3 linked regions of the Mytilus edulis genome follow. The main gene of each other region encodes a partner of the protein of the gene in region 3 in a complex. Links are inferred from orthologs where the notes say so. Each region holds a gene or a part of one and is shown on either strand. Other genes may lie near its edges.

Region 1 (8,066 bases), on a different chromosome or scaffold from region 3:
AGTTGCTAGGAAACACACCTCAGACATGGTCTATGTCTGAGGTGTGTTAAGTGGTGTAAAACACTGAAAAAACTAATTGCAATCAATTTATGACAAGTAACTGTGTTCGAAATCATTATTGTATGCAACACAAATGATTATTGTATCTAATGCATGGTCAATATACAACTGTCACCTCCTTAAAACTGTTGCTGAAGAAGAAAGCATTTTTCAAATAGTTTGCTCTGACTTCGCCACACAGCCTTGATTGACCTTGAACTCTCGAAACTATAATATCGGGATCTAACACGGTAAGGTAAGGTTTTTGATTCGGAATCTATAACAAAAATTTCGAAGGTGATACAGTAAGTTGAGTAACTGTAAGATGTCTAAAAAATTAGACATGTTAGATGATCCTAGATTGGTCGTTCCTTTTTTCTATTCTTTTAAATTTTTATACCAATTGTATGTTTATTTATTCATTGTTCTTTTTGCATGTCTACAAACAGGACCACCGCAATTAAATCTCTAGATGCATGAAAATAATGCAGATTTAAATCAAAGGAAATAAATTTTATCTGAAATAGATCTCATGTTAAATTTATCTTGACTTTGTAAATGTATGGTATAGTCCATGTAAAGTACAATGTGCATTTGGCACATGTGGCTGTCGGTTATTGTCTTCTTTTCTTTCTTTTTTTTTTTTTTGGGGGGGGGGTTAATTTTATACTAAAGACAGCATGTTAGGCTCTTAAGATTTCGAATAATTATTCCTATTTTTGAAAATTTTGTTCTAAACATTCTATGTTTTCTCACCTTCAAAAAGATACCATACTAATTATCCTTAATGTAATATATCTGAAAAGCCTTGGAAGTAGAAAAGGAAGACGAAAAATGTCCGCATTAGGATGTAAATGGCAATACTTCTACTTGTTTTGGTTACATGGATAAATAAATAAAATTTCTTTCTTTTAGTTTATTGTTATATATTATGTAGAACATGTCTAATATTACAAAAGTCCAGTAAAAATTATACAAAAACTTCTATTTATTTCATCAACTCTTATTAAAATGTTGCGGCCTTATTAGCGACATCACTTCAACCAATCTAATTAAAGTATTGATCTCTGATTACGTTATAATACATATTCAACCAATCTAATTAAAATATTGATCTCTGATTACAGTATAACGTAATCAGAGATCAATATTTTAATTAGATTGCACTTCAACCAGAGACATATAATACATGTATTATATATGTTTATGGCCCGATAACGCAGTTATTTTTCAATTTCCAGTTATTTCGTAGTGCATTTCTTTTAGACAATAAATGGAAATTTCAAAAAAATCCCACCAGAGCGTTCTCAATAGAATTTTAACAGTGTGATGCACTACTTTTGAGACATATTATATCGAAATAATAGAACTCTTCATCAGCTCTAACTCAAAATATGAACAATTTTTGTTTTAAGGGGGTCTTGAATTTTTTGACAGCTTTTGGAATACTGACTATTATCCTGTATAATTTCTGCTGGACCAAATCACTACGTTTAAGGTATTTAAAAACATGACAGAGAAATACATTTGGAAAGGGTATAAAAATGGCAAGAACACACTGTCTACACTAGGTCCGGGACTATATTCGTACTGTGTTCCCGGACCCTCTGTTTCAACCTAAGAGATAACAACTGGATTTTTGTTAACTTACTATCATAACTGCATGCTGTGCTCTATTTAATAGTAAGCACAAAGAAAAAGTTGAACAAAAATAAAAACAGTGAACGCATTATTGAAAGTTCCGTCAATAAATTGGTTTTTGGGTAGCCATTTGGTATTGTATCCAGATAATAACTATCTATTCCTCTTGGAACTTTTGGAAAAATAATTGGAATGTCTACGTAATATACATCTAAAAGATTTTCTTTCCGGAAAAGAACTTTTAGGTATACACACAATGTATGCCGCGGGATACTTTCAATGTGATAAATATGTCACCTTTCATAATTGACATCGGATAGAAATCCTGGAAATCTATGCCATCGTCATTTTTCTAGCAAATTGTATAAAATAAGGAGATGTGGTATGCAGTTCGAAAGTAGGTTATTGAGACAACTAGCCACCAAATATAAAAAAAAAAGAAGATGTGGTATGATTGCCAATGAGGCAACTGTCCACAAGAGACCAAAATGACACAGACATTAACAACTATAGGTTACAGTACGACCTTCAACAATGAGCAAAGCCCATACCGCATAGTCAGCTACAAAAGGCCCCGATATGACAATGTAAAGCAATTCAAACGAGAAAACTAACGGCCTTATTTTTATGAAAAAATGAACGAAAAACAAATATTTAACACATAAACAAACGACAACCACTGAATTACAGGCTCCTGACTTGGGACAGGCACATACATAAATAATGTGGCGGGGTTCATATTAAGAAAATGTAAGCAATTGTAGGCAACCGTTCGTCTTTTCACCACGAGAAAATACCGTATATTAAGGTATCTTTCGCCCCTCTTGTATATAAAAGACCAAGTGTCCACTACATAAGACACATTTTACCAGGACTAGTTTTTCGTTGACACTAATTTCAATTGAATTGACAGTTTTCACTTTTCAACTTTCTGCACAACACTACTAAAAATCCTTATCAGCCATATTAATTAAAGTTTTCTTATCGAATCAAACAATGATCCTTTGAAAATTGTGATTGCAAATGTGATTAAGCTTTCTTCTGTAATAGTAAATATAATAGATTCGCTTACATAACTGGGACTGTGTGGATATGACTAAAGCTGTGAGTCTCTCCTTGACGACTACACTATTGTATTGCACGTTTTGGTAATTAAAGATTATCGTTGTTCATCTCGCTTTATATAGTATATAGAGTGACCGCTGTTAATAATAACTTAAAATTGATAGTGAATTGCAAATACAAGTTATTTCTAGTACTTTATGTTCATGATATCCAATAAAACACGAAAATAATCGAAATTACGGAAATCATAAAAAATATATACAACTGATTTTTGGAGAGAGAAAAAATTGTCCTGTCCTCATGGCCAAGTACCTATCTAATCTATGAACAAAACCAATGTCTAAAAACATATAGCTAAAATGTGTGGGTAACGCTTTAATAATGTGTGGGTAACGCTTTGATAACATGCGTCCATGTCCCCTCCTTCTTAAAGTGTCAAATTGTGTTTGATTACTAACATCAAAGTTTAAAGTAGAAATTTCTAGGTGGTATCATCGGGTGTCTTTCGCCATCTTGGATTGCAAAAATCAGAGAATCTAAGGTCCAGATTTTCAATCAAATTAGCAAATTTTGATGCAGAAATGCAGATAACAATTGTGAATTTGCATTTAAAAAAACAAATTTATAAGATTTTTACTTAATTATAAATATCAATTAATTTTAAGTGTAGATTATATTTTGCTTGATTCTTAATGTTGTTGAATTGGCATTTTAAGAGGAGGTAACTCTGAAATAGTACATTTTCTGAAGGAATCTAGATGGACTTTTTGTTAATTTGTATTTTAGCCGGGAAAAACGCACGGTGACCCTATCTTTTCTCAGTTTGATATTCTCAAAGCATTTCAAGTCTAACAGTTATCTTCGACTATGCTATTTTACAATTCTATCCTTTAGTTTAGCTTCTAATCACATAATGATGTTTTTTCCTGTATATAAACTATACAAAATGTTTGTTTTATTTTGTCACAAGCTGTAGCTTGGGAAAATGCGCGGTGACCTATAATTTTCCATATATCAATATATATACTGTTGTTTCTTATTTGTGTTTGTAACTATGTATACTGTATTGTTTATTATATTTGTAAAATAAGAATATTACAATGATATTATATTATGCTCCTTGTGAGCCCATTTTATGGAAATAAAGCATCTATCTATTTATATACTTCGTTTTGGAAAAGTATGAAGAAATTCTATCATCTTTAATTTAGACTTCATACCACCATAACTTTCAAAAGCGAAATTTTTAAAACTATTAAATTTGAATTTTTGTTTCGTAAAAGAGTCGAAATTAGTTTAAAGTCATATAGTTTCAAGATTTTAAAAAGTCAAAATTTCGAGATTTGAAAGTTAAAATTTCGAGTCAAAGTCAAAATTTAAGATTTGCAAATTTTGACTTTAAAAAGGTGTATTGCCAATTTAATTTTTACGTCCTGAATACGCTTCCGTAGTTTCTCACATTCAATATTATATAATCTTTAAATTCCACACAATATTTTAGGAAACAGAAAAATAAATAGGTATGGCCTTTAATCGATTTTACTGGTTCCCGTTTAAATAGTGTAATTATGCTTTAAAGTACAAGTAAATGACTTGGTAACAGTTTACTATGCTATCCCATAATGCTCTGTTCACATAATTACAATGGCAGCCTCCTTTCGATGAAAAAAGGGTGAAAATTCTCTACTAAATTTATTGCTGACAGTCAATAACCTAAGTAAAGCAGTTAGCAACGAATACAGAACCTTCTTTTCTTTGTGCATCACAACTTTGAACTGAATACTGAGGGTGCAGAAGCACACAAATTCGTACAGTCGTACAGGTAAAATCTTGAGTTTAAAATGTCGGCCATGCCATTTCGCATAATTCACATATTACTCAAAGACGCAAATATACGAAGTACCGAAACGAAAATGCAAATAACAACCAAGAAATAAACATATTTTCCGAAATTAACCGGTAATCACGGTTGGCATAATCCTTTATCAGCTCGTTTAAAAGCTAACCAATAGATACCATTTTACATGTCACATGCTCAAAACACTTCCTGGAAAACCAAAAACAAAAGTGAAAGTATTTGTAAATACCTTCCTATACAAAATAGGTGTTTGGTTAGTTGAGAGGACAGCTAAAGAAATTTGCTTTACAATGGCAAACAGCATTAATGTTATTTTAACAGGGAAAAGGGTAAAGCCTGATGTCTTGACAAATGACCCAAGTGACAAAATGGAATTGCACAAGGAAAAAGTAAAAAAATTCAGAAAGAAAAGTAAATGATTCATTACATTGATTTATGTTATTGTCGTTTTAGGTTTAATCTTTGTATTCTATTGTTACTGAAGATATGTGATATATATTGGATCAAAACACAATGCACTTATAAATACTCCCATTTATACTTTCACTATTACATTATACTTATTCAATAAAATTTATGTTTCCAGATTGCTGAACATAGACGCAAGCATTACAAGTTATATTAACAAAGGGATAAAAATCAATAAATATTCCATACTTTTAACAATTGTTTAAGCAAATGTTATTTTCAAGAGATTCTTACAATTATTTTTACTGACAATAACAATTAAAGGAACATTGTTTAAAGTTTCAATCAATAAGCAAGTAATAACAAAAAAAACATGTCCCTCCATGCTATTTTTGCAGCAGCATTTTGATCATATATTCTTCATGCTTAGTTGATGTTGCATCTTATACATTTTGTATTTTACAGAAATGTCTGAGAGCTCAGCTTCACCTAAAAGGGCAAGTATTAACTTTTGAACACCTATTTTCTCCTCTTATAGGATATTGCAAAGATGTATGTTAATGACAACAGACTAATATTATTTGCACTAGATAGTCATGAAGAAAATTTATTAATTAACATGTTTAAAGTTGTTAAAAATACAGTTGATAATAGTTGGTTCAACCCGTTCATCTACCAGAACTTGAGAATTCAATAGTGTAAAACCACCTCTTTTATCATGTTTTTGTCTGGTTTTTAAGTTGTCAAGACAGTTTTTAAATTTCTGTTCAAACTTGCAATGATTTTAAATAAACCATTTTAAAACCAAAAGTTTTATGCCTAATTATTATTGCTGATACAAATATGTAAAACACTATATAACATGTATAATGATATAATAAAAAAAACATCATGCAGATACAGTGATTTTCCAACCCTCATTTTGGGGCCGAATTTCGGCCCCATTCCCAAAGAGAAATATGCTCTTTTTTTCCCAATTTTCAGCTCTAAAATTCCCAATCGTATATGGACATCGTCGCGAGATTTTGTTATTGTCGTATCTCCGTATCGTGTATTATTTTGTTGACAAATCTCTGAGCGTTCTGGGTATTTCGGGAGTTATCATTATCGTTCACTTAAGACGATGATTGGTTTGCAATCTTTTTTGGATTGCATTGCAATCTACGATATTCTGGTCACGTTTGCGCTTGAAACATCCGAATGAATAATTCAATGACAAAGCAAAAAAATGAGACATAATGTAAACAAAATGAACGTAGATACATTCGACTTTTATTTTTAATCCTTTTCCTTAAAAAGATAGCTTATTTTGTAGGCAATTCATGCAGTTAATCCTTCTCAGAATGCAGGATTTTGCACCTAATTTTCAAAATTTTCTTGGGGGGGGCATGCCCCCAAACCCCCCTAGCAAGGCGCACACGTCTTGCGCCGTGTGCCCGCCGTCGTAAAGACAAATCATATTTTTCCCAAACCATAATTTTTTTCCCAATTGCATGGGCCCCAGGACCCTTCCCTTAAACGCCAGGAAAATCACTGAGATAATAAAAATACTGATAAAATTTAAACAGTCACATTTTGCATGTTTAGATACACCATGTTCGAACATTCAAATCAATTGATAAAAATACTGCTTTTTTGACAAAATCTACTGGAAGAAAAATTGAGTGATAATTTTGAACATTAGATTTCTGATCGAAAGATGTAATAATTGTTGTAATGAAAACGTTTGATTTTTGGTGTTGACTGTTTTTCTGAACAAATGGTTGTTTGGTTGCCCCATAGTTAATTATATTAATAATTTCAATTTATATTCTAGGCTCGTTTAGACATGATGGCTCTAGATGATATGCCAAGGGAAGAACTTGTAATAAGGTAAGACTTTTTATACACTATTATTAAAGAGAGATTTCAGAAATATAAGATGGATTTAAATTTCAACCTCTAAATACCAAAAACGATATTTTACCAAGTTTTAAAAAGGACAATCATGCACCCTATATTCAAAAAAGGTTATTGAATTTTATCACCTGGCTATCTGGGCAATGTGAACTTTTACAATTTATGTCTGTTTTTGAATTTTTCAAAATCCTCTGAAGCCACAGGATCAATATTATACTGTATACTGAAAAAGTTGATAAGATTTTGGTTACACAGAAAATGTACATTATTTAAAAAAATGTATTAATGAGTTATCAAATTTTTAAATGACAAATATTATACCATAGTCAGTGTTAAGTTAGTTATCTGTATATGTTTTATGGCAATCAATATGTGACACTTTAATAAACAAATTTATATATATATATATTATATATCTTGTCAATTTTACTTTACAGATTGAGAGATCAGGACAAGTATGTGAAGTCCTTGGAAGAAAAGAGCAAAAAAGGTATGCATGGTATGCTCATGGTAGGGTTGTCTCTTTGACACAATCCTCATTTCCATTCTCAATTTTATTATAGTTAAATGATTCGTCATCTACTAGTAAAAAAATAAAGGAACTACAGGTCTTTACTCTCTCCATCTGTCAGTCTAATTCAATAGACCATCTACAAAATTTTCACCTTCATCATGTTCATATTGATAAAATGGTATATGAGTTGAAGATCAAACAGAAAAGCTCAATCACACAACTTTTAAATCAAAATAGACATTAATATCCCCACATGGTACTAAACTAATGCTAACTACATACAATTCTTCTTTGACAAGTTATCATATGATTTTCAAATCCTCAATTCAGCAGATTTAGCTCAGCTGATTAAAATAGTATTAGAAAACAATGTATTTAGATTTAATGGACACATCTATAAACAGATAATAAGCGCTCCCATGGGAGGTATTTTACCGCCTACATGCACAGATTTACAGTACAGAACACTCATTAAATTACACTGTCAATATAGAGGTGACGGCTTTATGGTCTTCACTGGTAATATATTACAAATAGAGAATTTTTTTAGCATTGTTAACAAGATTAACAGTCAGTTAAAATTTACATATGAAGTATCTGACAAGTTAATGACCAACTTAGATTTAGAGGTTTATAAAGGTG
Region 2 (8,254 bases), on a different chromosome or scaffold from region 3:
AGCCATGCCATTGACAGTAAATTGAGACCTAACATAGAGTAAACAATATTTCATTTGAAAATATTAACGTATACATTACAATATGCCAGTTTTATTAGGATTTGAAAACAAGAGATTTTCCACTTTTACAAATTCCTCCCCTAACTTGATATTGTTCTTAAATAATGTAATTTTGCTATCTTTCATAATTTATACAATAAGACAGACCTTAGTTATATCCATACTATTGACAGTAATTTTGCCTTGTTCATCTTCTAAACTGTCATCTTTTACTGTTATACTGAAAGAAAAATATTACATCATTAAAATATTTAAATTTCTTTACACCTTACAATGTATCCCTATTCCCTCCTGAACCTAAAATCTGTGCCGCTTGAACTATTGACCTATTCCCTCCTGAACCTAAAATCTGTGCCGCTTGAACTATTGACATGATACAACATTCACTTTTCCATTGTGGCATCAGATATTTTGTATTATGATGCCAACATTTTACAGGAACCTGTGTGATATCCAGTAATGGCAGACAAATAGCGATAAGGTGTATTCATATACCTTAAAATTGGATATTTTATTTGGATAATGGTTTGATTGATTGATCGCTGCTTAACATCCAGAGGTGAAAATTGTCATTATAATACCCTGCGTTGCACTACACTGACAGGTTGCGATAGATTCTTAACAGGCTAGGACATAAGGTTATTATAGTCAACAGGAGAACATGCCATCCTGCACTTACTGCATGAACACACTGTCCTGACTCCATGTCAACTTGTCTTGCTCTGATTACAAAATGTCTACACCTTTCAATCCCTTACGACCATGATGACATATTGAAATGTAGCATTAAAGCATATGGATTTTATTTTCTCCTGGTTTTGGAAATCTACATTTATTAACTGCAGAGATAAAAAAAAAATATTTTGGTGTAGCTGCATTGCTATAGTACTAGTATTGGCATATAACTCATATCTTATACATGTATATTTCTTTCATCATGTTCATATTTATTTCACCTACTTTATCAGCTGTTGTCCTGCAAATTTCTTCAGTAATTCTTCCACAACATCAAGTTTAACGGTCTGTTTGAGTATTTTAGATGAATGTTCTGCTATAACATTAGAACTACAGGGTATGTCTAGATCTATGTCACAGAGAGCCAACATTACTTTCTTCTCTAGAACAGGGTCTATCTTTGTAGGTTCAGCAGCCGGTGTGGACTTTACTGGACTGGAAGATGTAGATGGTATTGCTTTAACAGGGCTTGCTGATTCTGATTGGCTCTTTGTATCTGAAAAATAAAGTTCATGATTTGAGGCAAAATCAATTAAAAGTTCTTGTACAAAATTTTTATTTAAATTCAAATTCAAACCAGATGCTCCGCAGGTTGCAGCTTTATACGACCGCAGAGGTTGAACCCTGAATGGTTGGGGCAAGTATGGACACAACATTCAAGCTGGATTCAGCTCTAAATTTGGATTGTGATTAAATAGTTGACACAGCATAGGTTTCTGACACAGAATGAATGTGGTCTAATGAACTTAAAATATTTTTTTTGCCTTTGAGTTATTCACTATGCTGTTGAATATTAATCCTCTCAAAAAAATGTTTAAAGAAATTTTCTTTTTATTTATGAAATCTGAAATGAGAAAAATTTACCCCCCCCCCCCCCTCCCATTTTTTTTTCACATCCCCCTTTACCATGTTTACCTTTTTCCAAAACTGATCTCAATTCAAACTTCTAATGGAGTTTGCAACAATAACTACTCATTTAAGTACATCATAAAATATTAAAATATAAAATAAAGTGCTTGTTATCACTGAATGGTAAAGATTGTTTTAATTTATCAGTCGGTAGTAAAAGTGAATATGCATTGTATAATGTTTAGATTTAGCATATCAAAAAAGCCCAAGAATTCAATTTTTGTTAAAATCAAACTTAGTTTAATTTTGGACCCTTTGGACTTTAATGTAGACCAATTTGAAAAGTTATGGTGCGAAAACCAAGAACAATGCTTATTTGGGCCCTTTTTTGGCCCCTAATTTCTAAACTGTTGGAACCAAAACTCCCAAAATCAATACCAACCTTCCTTTTGTGGTCATAAACCTTGTGTCAAAATTTCATAGATTTCTATTTACTTAAACTAAAGTTATAGTGCTAAAACAAAGAAAATGCTTATTTGGGCCCTTTTTGGCCCCTAATTCCTAAAATATTGGGACCAAAACTCTCAAAATCAATCCCAATCTTCCTTTTGTGGTCATAAACCTTGTGTTAAAATTTCATAGATTTCTATTCACTTTTACTAAAAATAATGATTGTTGATTTAACTTGCTTTGATGTAAATACTGCATGTATTTATCTTGTTATGAGTGAGTAAAACTTTGAAGATCACGAGAGATAATTGTTTTTAACAGCTTGGCTCCTAAATTTGATCTCTTTTAAAAAAAAATATTCATAGCAATACACTTACGAAATATGATTAAGATTTTATCAACACATAAAAAACATTGTCAGAATTTCACTTTATTTAGAAAAAATGAACAAATCATTTTTATGTAGAGCAATACACTTGCTTTAACGGTATTATAAAGATTTATTCAACACGTCAAAAAAATGTTATCAGAACCTCACTATATGTAGAAACAATGAAAAAAATATTTATAAATAGCAATACACTTCATGCACTTTATTACCCAAACTCGATTCCAAATTGTATAACACAATACCCATAAAAATTGGTCTTGAACGTGTAGGGTGCGAACAGACTTTGAGTGCGAAAGTGTAGGGTGGGAAAGTGAAAGGGCGCCAACGTGAATGGGCGCGAAGGTGATTGCTCGCGAACAGACCCAGATTCATGAGACCTCCAGTAAAATGGTGTAAAAATAGCAATAAGATCAACATTAACGACAATGGAAAAAAAAATATATGGGTCAGCTATTTTGTGTGCTAATTCTCAGTTGCAAAATGGACAATTTCAATGAGAACCAGATAATGGTGTTTCACCTTCACTACTTGTTGTTGGTGAGATGCTAGACTTGGTGATTTCGGCTGCAATTTCCTCTCTTTCTTTTCGTCTCTGGAGCATTTTAGCTCTCAAGCTACTCTGTTTGCTTTTGATAGCTTGGATATCGCTCCATGCATCTGAATCTGACATGGTGGTGTCTTAAATCAGGTTCGTAAATAGGTAAATAGTTCGATCTCGAAATCAATTCTCTTTTTTTTTTAATTTGATCAGTGTCAATTATCTGCAATTCAAACAAACGAAATATTTTCTATTTTAAAGCGCTTAAAAGACCCAGAAGGGCACTTTTCTAAAATAACTGGTTCCCTGTTTGTAATTTTGTTGCTGATTTGCCTCAAATTAATATAAAAAGAACCAGAATAAAGTAGGAAAACATTGACAATGGCGTCACATGGAAGAGCACACGGCGTTCCCCACGGTTGGCCTAAACAATCTAATTCCGCATCCTTCCCAAAATATGGCACTGCAAATCCTCTCATAACTCTCGACAGACCAATCAATTTGTAAGCACTCTAGCCATATAGGTTCATGTGTCTTTTAATTTATCTATCAGAAATTCATGATCTTTCTTTTGTAGACTACTACTACTAGTACTAGTGCAACACTCCAACAGCAAGACAGGATCTGTATGATTCCGGATAAGTGTTCCTGGTTAATTAGTTCTTTTGAAGAATGCGTAAACCACAGACCCAACTTAATCAGGTCATGAACCATACCAGCTAACCCTCACATTGCGAGCGGGAGACTCTAGGGCAAACAACAAAATTACGGAAATCTCCCACTTGCCAGTCCAGTCCCGAACAGGATTAAAATCTCTCGCTTTTGGATATTTTGACCTGGAATAATACGAGTTCAAAATTCTCTGCCTTTTCAATAAAATGTTAAGCTTTTTTTTAAATTTGTTTCCTATTATACTTGCAGTGTTCTCCCCGGTATCAGGTCCGTTCGCGCCCAATATACTTTTGCACCCTACACGTTCGCACCTCGCACGTTCGCACCCAAGGTCCGTTCGCACTCTACACGTTCGCGCCCAATTTTAATTCAAATTCCAGTTGAATAATTTGAAAATCATGATTGTTGTTTTTAATTGCTTTCGTGTAAATACTGAATGTATTTATAGCTTGGTATGAGTAAAAGATTGAAGATTTTAAATGAAAAACACAAAAGATAATTGTTTTGAACAGCTTGGTCCCTTTGATCTGAAATAATGAAACAATACACTATTATATATCACTATACATGATAAAATTTAATCCAACACACACAAAAAAAAAGAAACGTAGTCAGAATCTCACTTCATTTTGAAACAAGTCAATGAAAAAAAGTTATAGCAATACACTAACCAAAACATGATAAACAATTATTCAACAGTTCAGTTCAGTTCAGTTTCTTGTATATTCCTCCATTAAATGTGGAGCACTACCCAAAGGGTATAGTTTGAGCAACTATTTACACCTTAAAACATAGGGAAACAATTAATTAAATTATATACAGATGACTGAATTTCAACACAAAATAAAACGTTGACAGAATCCCACTTTATTTAGAAAGGAATATAATTTTTTTTAACAATACACTAACCAAAACATGATTAAGATTTATTCAACACAAAAAAAATGCTGTCTCACTTTATTTTGAGACCATGAAAACAATTATACTTATAAGAATACTACGTACTTGCCAAAACTTGATTACAAAGTTATTAAACACAAAACCAATTAAAATTGGGCGCGAACATGTAGGGTGCGAACGGACTTTGGGTGCGAACATGTAGGGTGCGAAAATGAAAGGGGGCGAACATGTGTGGGTGCGAACGTGAATGGGCGCAAACGGACCCGGATTCGTTCTCCCCAGGCCGTTTTAGCGTCGCGGTACCGCGACGCTATATTTTTTCACCGTGATGCTATGATAATTCCAGCGACGCTATAATTATTACCGCAACGCTATAATTATTCCCGCCACGCTATAATTATTTTGAAGATGCTATTTTACTTGTCCTCAATTTTGAACTTTCATCTATTATTGATTATGATCATAAAAATTATATCACCTTTAATTGTAATCCCTTTAAGTCGGACACGAAAGGCAATTAAGAGATTAAATAGCTAGGTGTTAATTGCCCTCAGGGTGATAACTGTTTGGATGCGAATATCCCAAGCTGTCACTTGTGACATGATTAATACCACGTCACGTGTCTGCAATCACCAATTTCGACATGGAATAATGCAATCACAACACAATTCGAAATCTACGTTTTATATTACGAAATTTCAAAGATTGAAACGATTTTTATTTTTTTTTAAAAGGTCGTTTATTTGTGCAACTCTCCAAAAATTACTTTCTTTCTCTTCCAGTAATACGAGAGCGAGAATTTTGGTTTAGAGCTAAAATAAGTTTAATATTTCTTTAAAAAGTTATCATAATTGGCTGAAGTTTATGTTTAATCCATTTAATGCATTAAAAGCGTCTTATTCATTCACAATCTCTTGTCAAACAATGTTTATTCTCAGACTCATTTTCGTAAATTTTTCTACGGCCGCCATTGCACATTTTTGTGTAAACTACGGATAGGAACCGGACTAGATATGACAAAAATCCGCATTTTCACGATAATGACAACAGATGGACAGTAGACAGAAAAAATATACCACGAAAGAAAACTACGTATTAACAGACTATTTGTTAGATGACTTTGTTAAAAATACATATCATTTTGATGTAAAGATAAACAACTGGGACTAATTCATTGAGTGCCATGAAACAATGAATTTCATAAACATGATAAAAAAAAGTTTTTAAATTGAGGATTTTTTTGGCTACTTTATCTTTACTTAAAATAATATAAAAAATTGTTAATTTTGTGTACTAAATATTTAGTTTTGTATATATATACCGGTTGCACTATAATGAACCATTCATTCATTTGACTTATTATTGGGTAACTGAAACCACATATTTATTTTTATTTGGCACAAAAGGAAAAAAATAATTCTGATTACTATAAATGAATAAAGAAAACATAAACTGAAACAACTGTTTTTGTGGTTACAGTTTAATTGTATTCTCAGTTATGAATTGAACAATATAAACTAAAACATATAAAGGAAATAGAGCATCAACACGACGCGACAAATGACATTAAAAAAAATACTGTTATTTTTTTTAACGTAAAAATTTCTGGGGAGAACACTGACTTGTACTTTTCATTAACAGTGTTCTCCCCAGAAATTTTGGATAGCATCACATTTTGCGTAAAAAAAAATAAGTGTATTTTTTTTAATATTGTTTGTGATTGCATATTTCCATGTCGATATTGGTGATTGCAGACACGTGGTATTTAGTCATGTCACAAGTGTCAGCTTGGGATATTCGCATCCAAACACTTTTACAGTTATCACCCTGAGGGCAATTAACACCTAGCTATTTAATCTCTTAATTGCCTTTAGTGTCCGACTTAAAGGGATTACAATTAAAGGTGATATAATTTTTATGATCATAATCGATAATAGATGAAAGTTCAAAATTGAGGACAAGTAAAATAGCATCTTCAAAATAATTATAGCGTCGGCTACGCCTCATGGTGTACTGGGGTACTTCAGGGTGTTAAAATACCCATATCTATGGATATGAACGATACGCCTCATGGTGTACTGGGGTACTTCAGGGTGTTAAAATACCCATATCTACGGATATGAACGTAGATAACTTATAATAACACCATATAAAATATAGTTTTTCGATCATATCTATTGGTTAATATTCAGCTTTGGAGTTCTTAAGAAAATGTGGTTTTGATAAGGGATGTCAACTCTGTAAAAATTTACTAATCAAGTATAACATACAAGTTGGATTTATTGAGCGATACTCAAGTACTCGCTCGGTTACACACTTACCAAATGGAAACACAAAATTATACCCAATAAAAATGTTTTCTGTTTAAACTTAAGAAAACAATAACATTCTAACAGGAAACCAAATAGTTGAGCAATACTTGAGTACTTGTTGACATCCCTAGTTTTGATGATATGAATTAATAGACCACTCTTCAGTTATGTCCTTCAATGGAAAAGTTTGTCAGTTATGCTTTTAGCTTCTTTATGACATCATTAATCAGATGGAGTGGATCCCTTGTATCTATCAAGCTTCTTCATGATTATAATTTATTATGCAGCACAAACTAGAAATTAAACCAAAGTATATAAGGGAATGCAACTAAGTAGAAGGATGTCTATTGCAGTAGAATGTATTAGAATGTGAATTACACAGAAATCGACCTTATGCAAGTGAATATCAATACTTTTTTTTATCCTATTTCTGATGGAAAAAATCTATATCAAAAGTCGGTAACTGTTTGAAACTTTGAGTTGTTTTAAGAACACTATAAAACAGACTAAAATTCATCTTTTATTTTATATTCGAACATGTTGAATGTTTTTAAAACCAATCACAGTTGTGTACATGTAAATGTGTACTTGCATAAGGTCGATTTCTATCCGACGCAGCTCACATGTATATACATGTAATAGAATGTGAATTACACATGTACCTGAATTGAAGTATAATTCACCAATTTTTGATTTGTTAAATATTTACTGCCTTGCAACTTTTATCAGTTATGAGAAATTGGAGAATAATATATTAAATAATTTTTTCAGGTATCCTTTAACTAACTACACATTTGGTACAAAAGAGCCTCTTTATGAAAAGGATAGTTCTGTACCAGCCAGATTTGCCAGGATGAGGGAAGATTTTGAGAAGATTGGTATGAGACGATCGGTTGAGGGTGTATTGATTGTACATGAGCATGGTCTTCCACATGTACTGCTGTTACAGCTTGGTACAACTTTCTTCAAATTGTAAGTTTTTCAAGTTTGTCAGTATATAAACACTCAATATAACTCTATATATTGAACTTTTATTGAAGAAAAAGCTTCAATTTACATGATTAATATTAAAATTGTTATAATGGAATGTCAAATGATTGTTGTTTGACCTACATTGGCAAATATTACACAAACTATTGATAAGATATATACTGGAAATAGAATATGTTTCATTGTTTATTTCTTTTGTATTGAATAACTTCTTGCATAATTATCAAGTTTAAATACTTTTAAAGTAGTCTGAATTTAGAAGGGTACGACAATTATAAATACGTCTAGTGTTAATGTTTGACATAGGGAGTATACATATAACGTAACATTGTTAAGATACCAAAGAAGTTGCAACAG
Region 3 (7,758 bases):
AGTTAAAAGAGCTAAAACTAAGCATTTGTCTCATTTTACTTACAACCCTATAGAGACTGAGTGTTTAGAATCTACAAGACTTGGAACTTAGTTATCACATATTTTACATCACATTTATAAATGGTCTGTAAGGAAAACTTAGCGATTTTACTGCCAATTATTCTCCAATTTACAGGACTTTGGTTCATGTCAAATATAAATAAAATGTCAAAGCTGGTCATAGGCACCGTTAACATAATCATCCTGATCTACGGATCACCAAAGGTCATCCCTACATAGGATACAATGTCCGTTAACAAATTATTTTGTACGCACTTTGACCATGTTGATAATTTTGTATTGGACAAAATTTTTTGAATGAACCCTGCTCTTCAAGTATAAGGACACAGGGCAACGTTCGTCATATTATGATTTCAAAACTTTCAACATCGATTTCAATCAAATGCTTTGAATCTGTAACGCGCGTCTGGTGTATATATAAAATTTGAATTCATGTATCTATGATGTCAGAGTTAATTATCTAAAAGTGTTCATGCCAAATGCTCACGTGATACCAAAGGGATTTAACCTTATACAGGGAAGATGAAAACCCAAGGATTCTGGTACAAAAGTTTTGAGCAGGAAATAAAAATAGAAGATTTTCGGTAGGAAAGGAAAAAAAAAGAAAAAAAATATTGCTGGTAAATACAAATTAAAGATTTCAGTCGGAACGAATTTATCGGGTCGGTCGGTAAAGGGCAAACAAACAATATTTTAATTCAAGCCTAAACGCTAAAGCGGCCCAAAGGTTAAGCTGAATTATTAGTTCAGTCAAGGTGGCCAAGTGGTCTAGAGGAATGGCTGGATGGACACAGTGCAGGCTGTGTTGTCTCGATATCCCAATAGCATGAGTCTGAATCCAAGCAAGGGAAGAACAAAAATTTGCGGATTGTTGTGCTGATACATTTGTGATTTAAGCATAATAGTTATATATTTCAGCCGTGTATGATTCTACCTATTCTATTCTATTCTACCTTTTAGTGACTGCTTTCAACAAATTGAAGATTATGTCACAGTAGGAAACTTACAACAAGACATAGATTGAAAAATGTACAATTTAAAAAAAAATACGAAAAGTTTGAAAGAGTCTACTGAAGTGCAATTAAGTGAATTTACAATGTTATCCGGTAGTTTGTTCCAGTCGGTAATAGTTCTTGGAAAATAGGATTCTATTCTGTACTGTGTTTTGCAGGATGGAATTTGGAAGCTGTTCAAATTAGAATGTCTTGTTTGTCTTGTTTGTGGAATTAATTTAGTATTTTTAGGTATTGCAACCTTTTCGTGTTCAATTTTGTAAAGCATTACCAATCTGGAGTCTTTTCTTCTGTCAGAGAGACTGTGCCATTCAAGATGTTGTATCATGTTACCAACGCTTGAGGGGTTTCTGTATTTGTTGGTAACAAAACGTGCAGCCCTCCTTTGAACCTTTTCAATGCTATCTATGTCTTGTTGTAAGTATGGATCCCAAACAGAGCAAGTATACTCTAGTGATGGTCTTACTAGGGACTTATATGCTTGCTCTTTAATGGATGTTGAATTTATGTTAAAATGATAATACATGTATCACCATCACTGATTGAATGGATGGATCTGCCGTAGAGTTGTCTATTTATAGAGGTAGTTATACATATATTATACATTGTGCCTGTAAGAGTCTATAGTATATATATATATATGTAACACTCAGAAACGTGTCCTTCCCCCCAAACGTGTCCGATTCCCCCAAACGTGTTCACATCAACGTCACTGAACTCTAAAACATGTCTAGTTGTAAAAACAGCGCCAAACCATATCATTTGTATAAACGCCCAAACATGTCCATTTTTTAATAAACACTTAAACGTGTTCAATCCCCCAAATGTGTCCATATGTTTTTTTAACTAGAAATGTCATTTGTGTCAATATTATAAGTATGTAGGTTATTTGGTTATTGCTTTTTCAGCAATGTATACTCATTTTGCTATTTCATTAAAAAGTAGAAAATAACTTTAGATCTATTTTTCAAAACAGACAGAATAACCTGGTAAAAGTGGGGGCGTTTGTTAAGCTATGTTGAATGTAAATGTAAGCAGCCATGCTCAGTTAAGTTGTAGATTTACAATCAGATACCTCGTGTAGGGAGAATGTCCCGTTCACTGCGCAATTCTAACTAAAGATAAACAAAAATCGTTTTTACTCTCCCTTAATTATTTTAGATTAAAATCCTAACTAGTGTTGATCACGAATAACCGTAAAAATTTAAGCCCAATCCTCAATTCCCGGTATGATAATAGAACCCTTGCAGATTTCCAAAAAGAGCAGGCTAATGCCGCTACAAGGCAGCACTCGCACCCGCAGAGTGGAAAGGGATTAATATAAGTTGCAAAACTTGTTTCCCAATCCACTATAATTAAATATGTTTAAACTAAATAAAATGATAAAAAAGAAGATGTGGTATGATTGTCAATGAGATAACTCCCAATTAAAGACCACATGACACAGAAATTAACAACTCGTCACCGTACGGCCTTCAAAAATGAGTAAAGTCCATACCGTTTTAAAAGCTATAAAAGACACCGAAAGGACAAATGTATTTTTGCTAACATTATATCGTTTAAATAATGCATGAAATATTTCACTTGGGACGTTATGTCTCTTATGTGTGTGTCATTAGTGATGCTCGAAACATAAAATTTATTAAAAAAAACCCTGATAACCAGCATTTGACCAGTTTATGATTTGAAAAACTTTTAAAATACCAGACTGAGAATTGAAAAAGGAAGTCAAATATGCTGAAAGCCCGTTGTGCAATATTCAGATTAATTTAAAAGCATCATTGGAGTTTATTAGTACAAACTGTAGTTCAACTGTACAAGAATTATTTGTATGTTCGCTAAAAATGAGCATGAAATACTTGCAACTGGCCAATAAGCAAATACAGTCTAAAGTGAATGCATATGTTACAGAGTGAACTTACAATTATGATGATCGTTAATAACCTGCATTGAACAAACTAATGCTAATAAATGACCACAATATCAACAGTGTCCGTAATTAAAGAATAGCCGTTAAACGTTATTGATTTCATTTAGGAGTCCTCAATTAGGACATACCTGTATTTGCGCTGAAAGACGTGAGACGTTCCTGCATGTTATAGTGGACTCGTTTTGGCGAATAACAATTATTGGACACGTTTTGGGGTCATAGAATCGGACACGTTTCACATTTGGGGAATATTGAATATTACGGACATGTTTGGGGGAATCGGACACGTTTGGGGGAAGGACACGTTTAGGAGTGTCACATATAAATTATTTATCAATTTTAAACTCTCAAATTATCTCAGATTATTTCAACCAGGTTTTGTTATCATTTGTTTGATAATGATTTTGTATTTGCGAAATGACCTATTGTTATTCGTGTCAGAGGGAATTTTCAGAGTATCATGTCGTAAAATTTCTGTCTATCTCTTTAATGCATGTTAATGTTACATCGCTTTTTAGTAAAAAGTGCATGCCAGTTTACCTTCATCTGCCATTTTCCTTAATAAACCGAAAGTAAAAACAGACAAGCATTTCCATTGGTTGATTAGATTTGGAAAATATAACGAGAGCTTTGATTCGCTCTTAAACTGTCGGCATGTAGTAGTTGGGTTCTGTAATCAGCTCAAAAATAATACAGAAAAATAAAGATTTATTAAATGTTCCAAAACTGGACACTAAAATTTTAGACGATACCTCCAAAATAGAGCAAAGTCCAAAGAAGAGAAAGCACACAGGCGAAGTGTGCGCAGAAGAACAACACAAGAGACAAAAGACACTTGATGTCCAGGAGACAAAAGAAATGTCAACAAAGATGAGAGAAATGTCTGATGAAAAGCAAGGTTCAACAGCCAGAGCGAATTTCAAAAGTACACCTCATTCCTTTGCACTTATTAAACAACCATTCACTTATAAATTACTGGGCAAAATGTCAAATTCGGTTCAATACGCATAAGTCATTGTTAGTGCTTCTTTTTCTATACAAACAATGTCAATCATGTCATATCAACATCAATACACCTTATTGTTGTATGGAAATCTGTACCAGTTGACCTGAGAATCAGCGCTGCTTGAGTGACTGACATCATCCAACAATCACTTTTCCATTATGGCGTCAGATAATTCTTTTGTGACGTCAAAATTTTACTAGAACTGAACCTTTTGGTAGTCCAACATTGGCAGATAAATAGCGATAAGGTGTATATGATGAGATATATAAGCACATACATGTATATCTTTGGGATTTATAAGTGCCTTACTTTCCAATTGGTAGATATTTTCCTTTGCTCAATCTCTCATTTTTGAAGAAAAGAATATATATATATACATCATGTATCCTTAGTTATGACACAATTGACTAAGTCTTGTATTCAGGCATTCCAAGGGTTCCAAATAAACCCTCTGAACAGACTAGTCCAGTTTAGATTTATGTTTTACTGTTAAGAAGCAGTTATTATTGGAATCTGGGTCTGTTCGTGCCCATTCACGTTCGCGCCCATTCTCGTTCGCACCCTTTCACTTTTGCAACTACACATTCCCACCCTACACGTTTGCGCCCAATTTTTTTATTGGTTTTGTGTTTAATGACTTTGTAATAAAGTTTTGGCAGAAAAATAAATTGAGACATTTTTTTTTTGTGTTGAATAAATCTTAATGCCTCAAAATAAATTGAGACAATGTTTTTTTTGCGTTGAATAAATCTAATCATGTTTTGGATTGTATATTGTTAAAACAAATAAATAATCAGTTTCTAAATAAAGTGTGATTCTGTCAACGTTTTGTTGTTGTTGTGTTGAATAACTCTTAATCATATTTTGGTTAGTGTATTGCTATAATGTTATTTCAAAATAAAGTGAGATTCTGACGGGTTTTTTTTTCAAGCTGTCACAGTAAAAACAATTATCTTTTGTGTTTTTCATTTAAAATCTTCATTTTTTTTAATCATACCAAGCTTAATTCATGCAGTACTAATATTTACATCAAAGCAATTTAAACAACAATCATGATTTTCTAATTATTCAACTAGAATTTACTTTAAAATTGTGTGCGAACGGACTTTGGGTGCGAATGTGCGAGGTGCGAACGTGTAGGGTGCGAAAGTGTATTGGGCGCGAACGGACCTGATACCTTATTATTGCCAAATAAGTCCAAATGATATCCATATAAAGCCTTCCAAGTTCAACAATAAGGAAAGCTCATACCCCTATACTATATAGTCACCTATAAATGACTGACATTGCAAAATTTTAAACAATTGAAATAAAACAAAAAACAGCATTAATGACAAATCAATAAATGACAAACAAATATGACAATTTTTATGACAGACAGTAACCAACAACAACTACTCAGCTTTCAATAAAATTCAATCGATAAGTTTGTTTTCCCTGACGAATGGAAAGGCTTATTGACTACAGGCTAAGCTAAGCTGCAGTTCAGTGTAAAAGAATTTCTTTTAATGGTGAGATGTTATATTTTTTTTTACAGCTATGTTTTGATTGGTACATATACTGTCATTTTGACTGTCATGACTGTTATTAAAATAAATTTTCATTTTAATATTCAAATTTATTTTCATAGAACTTTCATATACCTGGAAACAGTCTGAAGATGAACTCATTATGGTATTTGATCAAGAAGGTTTAACACCTAATCAGAAAGATTTGGATATATCTTTTGGTGATCAGTATGTCCTGATAAAGTTTCCAGGTAGGATATTTTCAATATTTGTTTTTTTCATCACTTTCATACCAAAAAAATACTGGCGTAGTGCACAATATTCTGAGCCCAGCAATCATCTGACTTTTTAGACTAGTAAAATATGTCCATTTTAATAAAAATATAAAAGAAAGGTTTAAAAATTGACTTTGAGATGTTATTTCAAATAAAAAAAACATTCATGGTAAGGATGTCAGAATATCAACAAATTCATGGTAAGGACGAATATCAACAAATTCAAGTAAAAGATCTTAATGCTCAAGACAAGACCAAAAATTTTAAGCTGAAATACATGTAGATTGATAAACAAACAGTAATAGTAGATAAAGACTTTGTATAACACATGCAACTAGATTTTAGAGTGTGTAATGCCTTTGAAGATAAAGACAAGACATCTGCACTTGTTCTCTGTTCACATAAAATGTATCATAAACTTGTAAATTAAAATGCTGACTAATACAGTTTATACTGGGTTGTTTCAGATGGAAAGCAGACATGGTCTTTAATATTTGCTAAAAATATTGATAGAGAAAATACTAAAGTACAATGGAAGAAGAAAAAATTACATATAATGATGAAGAAAAAATGTCCTCAGATTTGGTCATCATTAGAGGTAAGCAATATATTTAGCTCACTTACATGTGACCAGAGGTTTTGTAATAGCTAAGTGTGTCATGTATTCTTTGTTTCTGTACAGGAAACATGGACACAATGACATTCCAAATTTATTTATTTCCCAGTGACATTATATGTTAATAAGCTGATATATAAAGATGACATATTAGCCTAAACAGTTATTTACAGTTTAAAAAAGTATTTATAGTGTAAACCATTTTATATATGAGTTAAAATAAAATTGAGAATGGAAATGGGGAATGTGTCAAAGAGACAACAACCCGCCCAAATAAAAAACAACAGCAGAGGGTCACCAACAGGTCTTCAATGTAGCGAGAAATTCCCGCACCCGGAGGCGTCCTTCAGCTGGCCCCTAAACAAATATATACTAGTCCAGTGATAATGAACGCCATACTAATTTCCAAATTGTACACAAGAAACTAAAATTAAAATAATACAAGACTAACAAAGGCCAGAGGCTCCTGACTTGGGACAGGCGCAAAAATGCGGCGGGATTAAACATGTTTGTGAGATCTCAACCCTCCCCCTATACCTCTAACCAATGTAGTAAAGTAAACGCATAACAATACGCACATTAAAATTCAGTTCAAGAGAAATCCGAGTCTGATGTCAGAAGATGTAACCAAAGAAAATAAACAAAATGACAATAATACATAAATAACAACAGACTACTAGCAGTTAACTGACATGCCAGCTCCAGACTTCAACTAAACTGACTGAAAGATTATGATTTCATCATATGAACATCAGGCACAATCCTTCCCGTTAGAGGTTTAGTATCATACCATCATAACATATATGAGAAGAACATAACCCGTGTCATGCCAACAACTGTTTTTAGAATAAATGTGTTTAGTTCCGATGCAAAGACCTTATCAATGACTCAATATTAACGCCAAAATATGCAATCTTTAATGACTTGACAACAGTATCGTAATTATATCCCTTCTTAATAAGTCTATTCAAAGGTTGCATGTTATTAGGCATAGTATTATTAAAGCTTCATTTAAAAATATATAATTTTTATCTTCTTTAGAGAGTTCTGAAAAAGCTTCAATCCGAACCCAGTTCTGAAGATATTTCAGAGGCCAAGAAGACTGATCTAAGTTCTGTGTCTTCTACTGAAGTTATGACCTCTGGTCAGGCATCAGGTGACACACCTTCCCCAGACCAAATGAGTACCAGCGAGGCTACTGGAGATGATTCAGGACAGGGAGATACTCAAACATCAGATGAATATTGTGTTGATAAGGACAAAGAAGAAGGTACATGTACACCTTAGACTTTTTCTTAAAACACTGCATCTTTTTGTTGGGAAGCAGAAAACAAGACATAGATATGTCTT

What was found. Proteins that work in one complex are often made in the same cells at the same time.
Region 1: E3 ubiquitin-protein ligase Hakai-like (region 3) and pre-mRNA-splicing regulator WTAP-like share a complex: the UniProt entries of both Homo sapiens proteins name them as parts of the WMM complex. The link is inferred for Mytilus edulis from reciprocal best matches to the Homo sapiens genes CBLL1 and WTAP.
Region 2: E3 ubiquitin-protein ligase Hakai-like (region 3) and N(6)-adenosine-methyltransferase catalytic subunit METTL3-like share a complex: the UniProt entries of both Homo sapiens proteins name them as parts of the WMM complex. The link is inferred for Mytilus edulis from reciprocal best matches to the Homo sapiens genes CBLL1 and METTL3.

Annotation. Positions count from the first base shown.
Region 1 is NC_092353.1:21,213,232-21,221,297, forward strand, and holds the start of pre-mRNA-splicing regulator WTAP-like, read left to right. Parts: upstream 1-4,787; 5' UTR 4,788-4,893; coding exon 4,894-5,014; intron 5,015-5,476; coding exon 5,477-5,508; intron 5,509-6,827; coding exon 6,828-6,883; intron 6,884-7,347; coding exon 7,348-7,400; intron 7,401-8,066. Other genes in the region: superoxide dismutase [Mn], mitochondrial-like, read right to left, coding at 176-207. UniProt on the Homo sapiens protein: Associated component of the WMM complex, a complex that mediates N6-methyladenosine (m6A) methylation of RNAs, a modification that plays a role in the efficiency of mRNA splicing and RNA processing.
Region 2 is NC_092348.1:95,909,279-95,917,532, forward strand, and holds the start of N(6)-adenosine-methyltransferase catalytic subunit METTL3-like, read right to left. Parts: upstream 3,280-8,254; 5' UTR 3,156-3,279; coding exon 3,005-3,155; intron 1,292-3,004; coding exon 1,021-1,291; intron 281-1,020; coding exon 208-280; intron 1-207. Other genes in the region: cleavage and polyadenylation specificity factor subunit 5-like, read left to right, coding at 3,405-3,526, 7,679-7,879. UniProt on the Homo sapiens protein: The METTL3-METTL14 heterodimer forms a N6-methyltransferase complex that methylates adenosine residues at the N(6) position of some RNAs and regulates various processes such as the circadian clock, differentiation of embryonic and hematopoietic stem cells, cortical neurogenesis, response to DNA damage, differentiation of T-cells and primary miRNA processing.
Region 3 is NC_092344.1:88,732,132-88,739,889, forward strand, and holds the start of E3 ubiquitin-protein ligase Hakai-like, read right to left. Parts: upstream 3,679-7,758; 5' UTR 3,557-3,678; coding exon 3,544-3,556; intron 1-3,543. Other genes in the region: ubiquitin carboxyl-terminal hydrolase 19-like, read left to right, coding at 3,862-3,928, 5,640-5,768, 6,260-6,390, 7,450-7,678. UniProt on the Homo sapiens protein: E3 ubiquitin-protein ligase that mediates ubiquitination of several tyrosine-phosphorylated Src substrates, including CDH1, CTTN and DOK1. Targets CDH1 for endocytosis and degradation.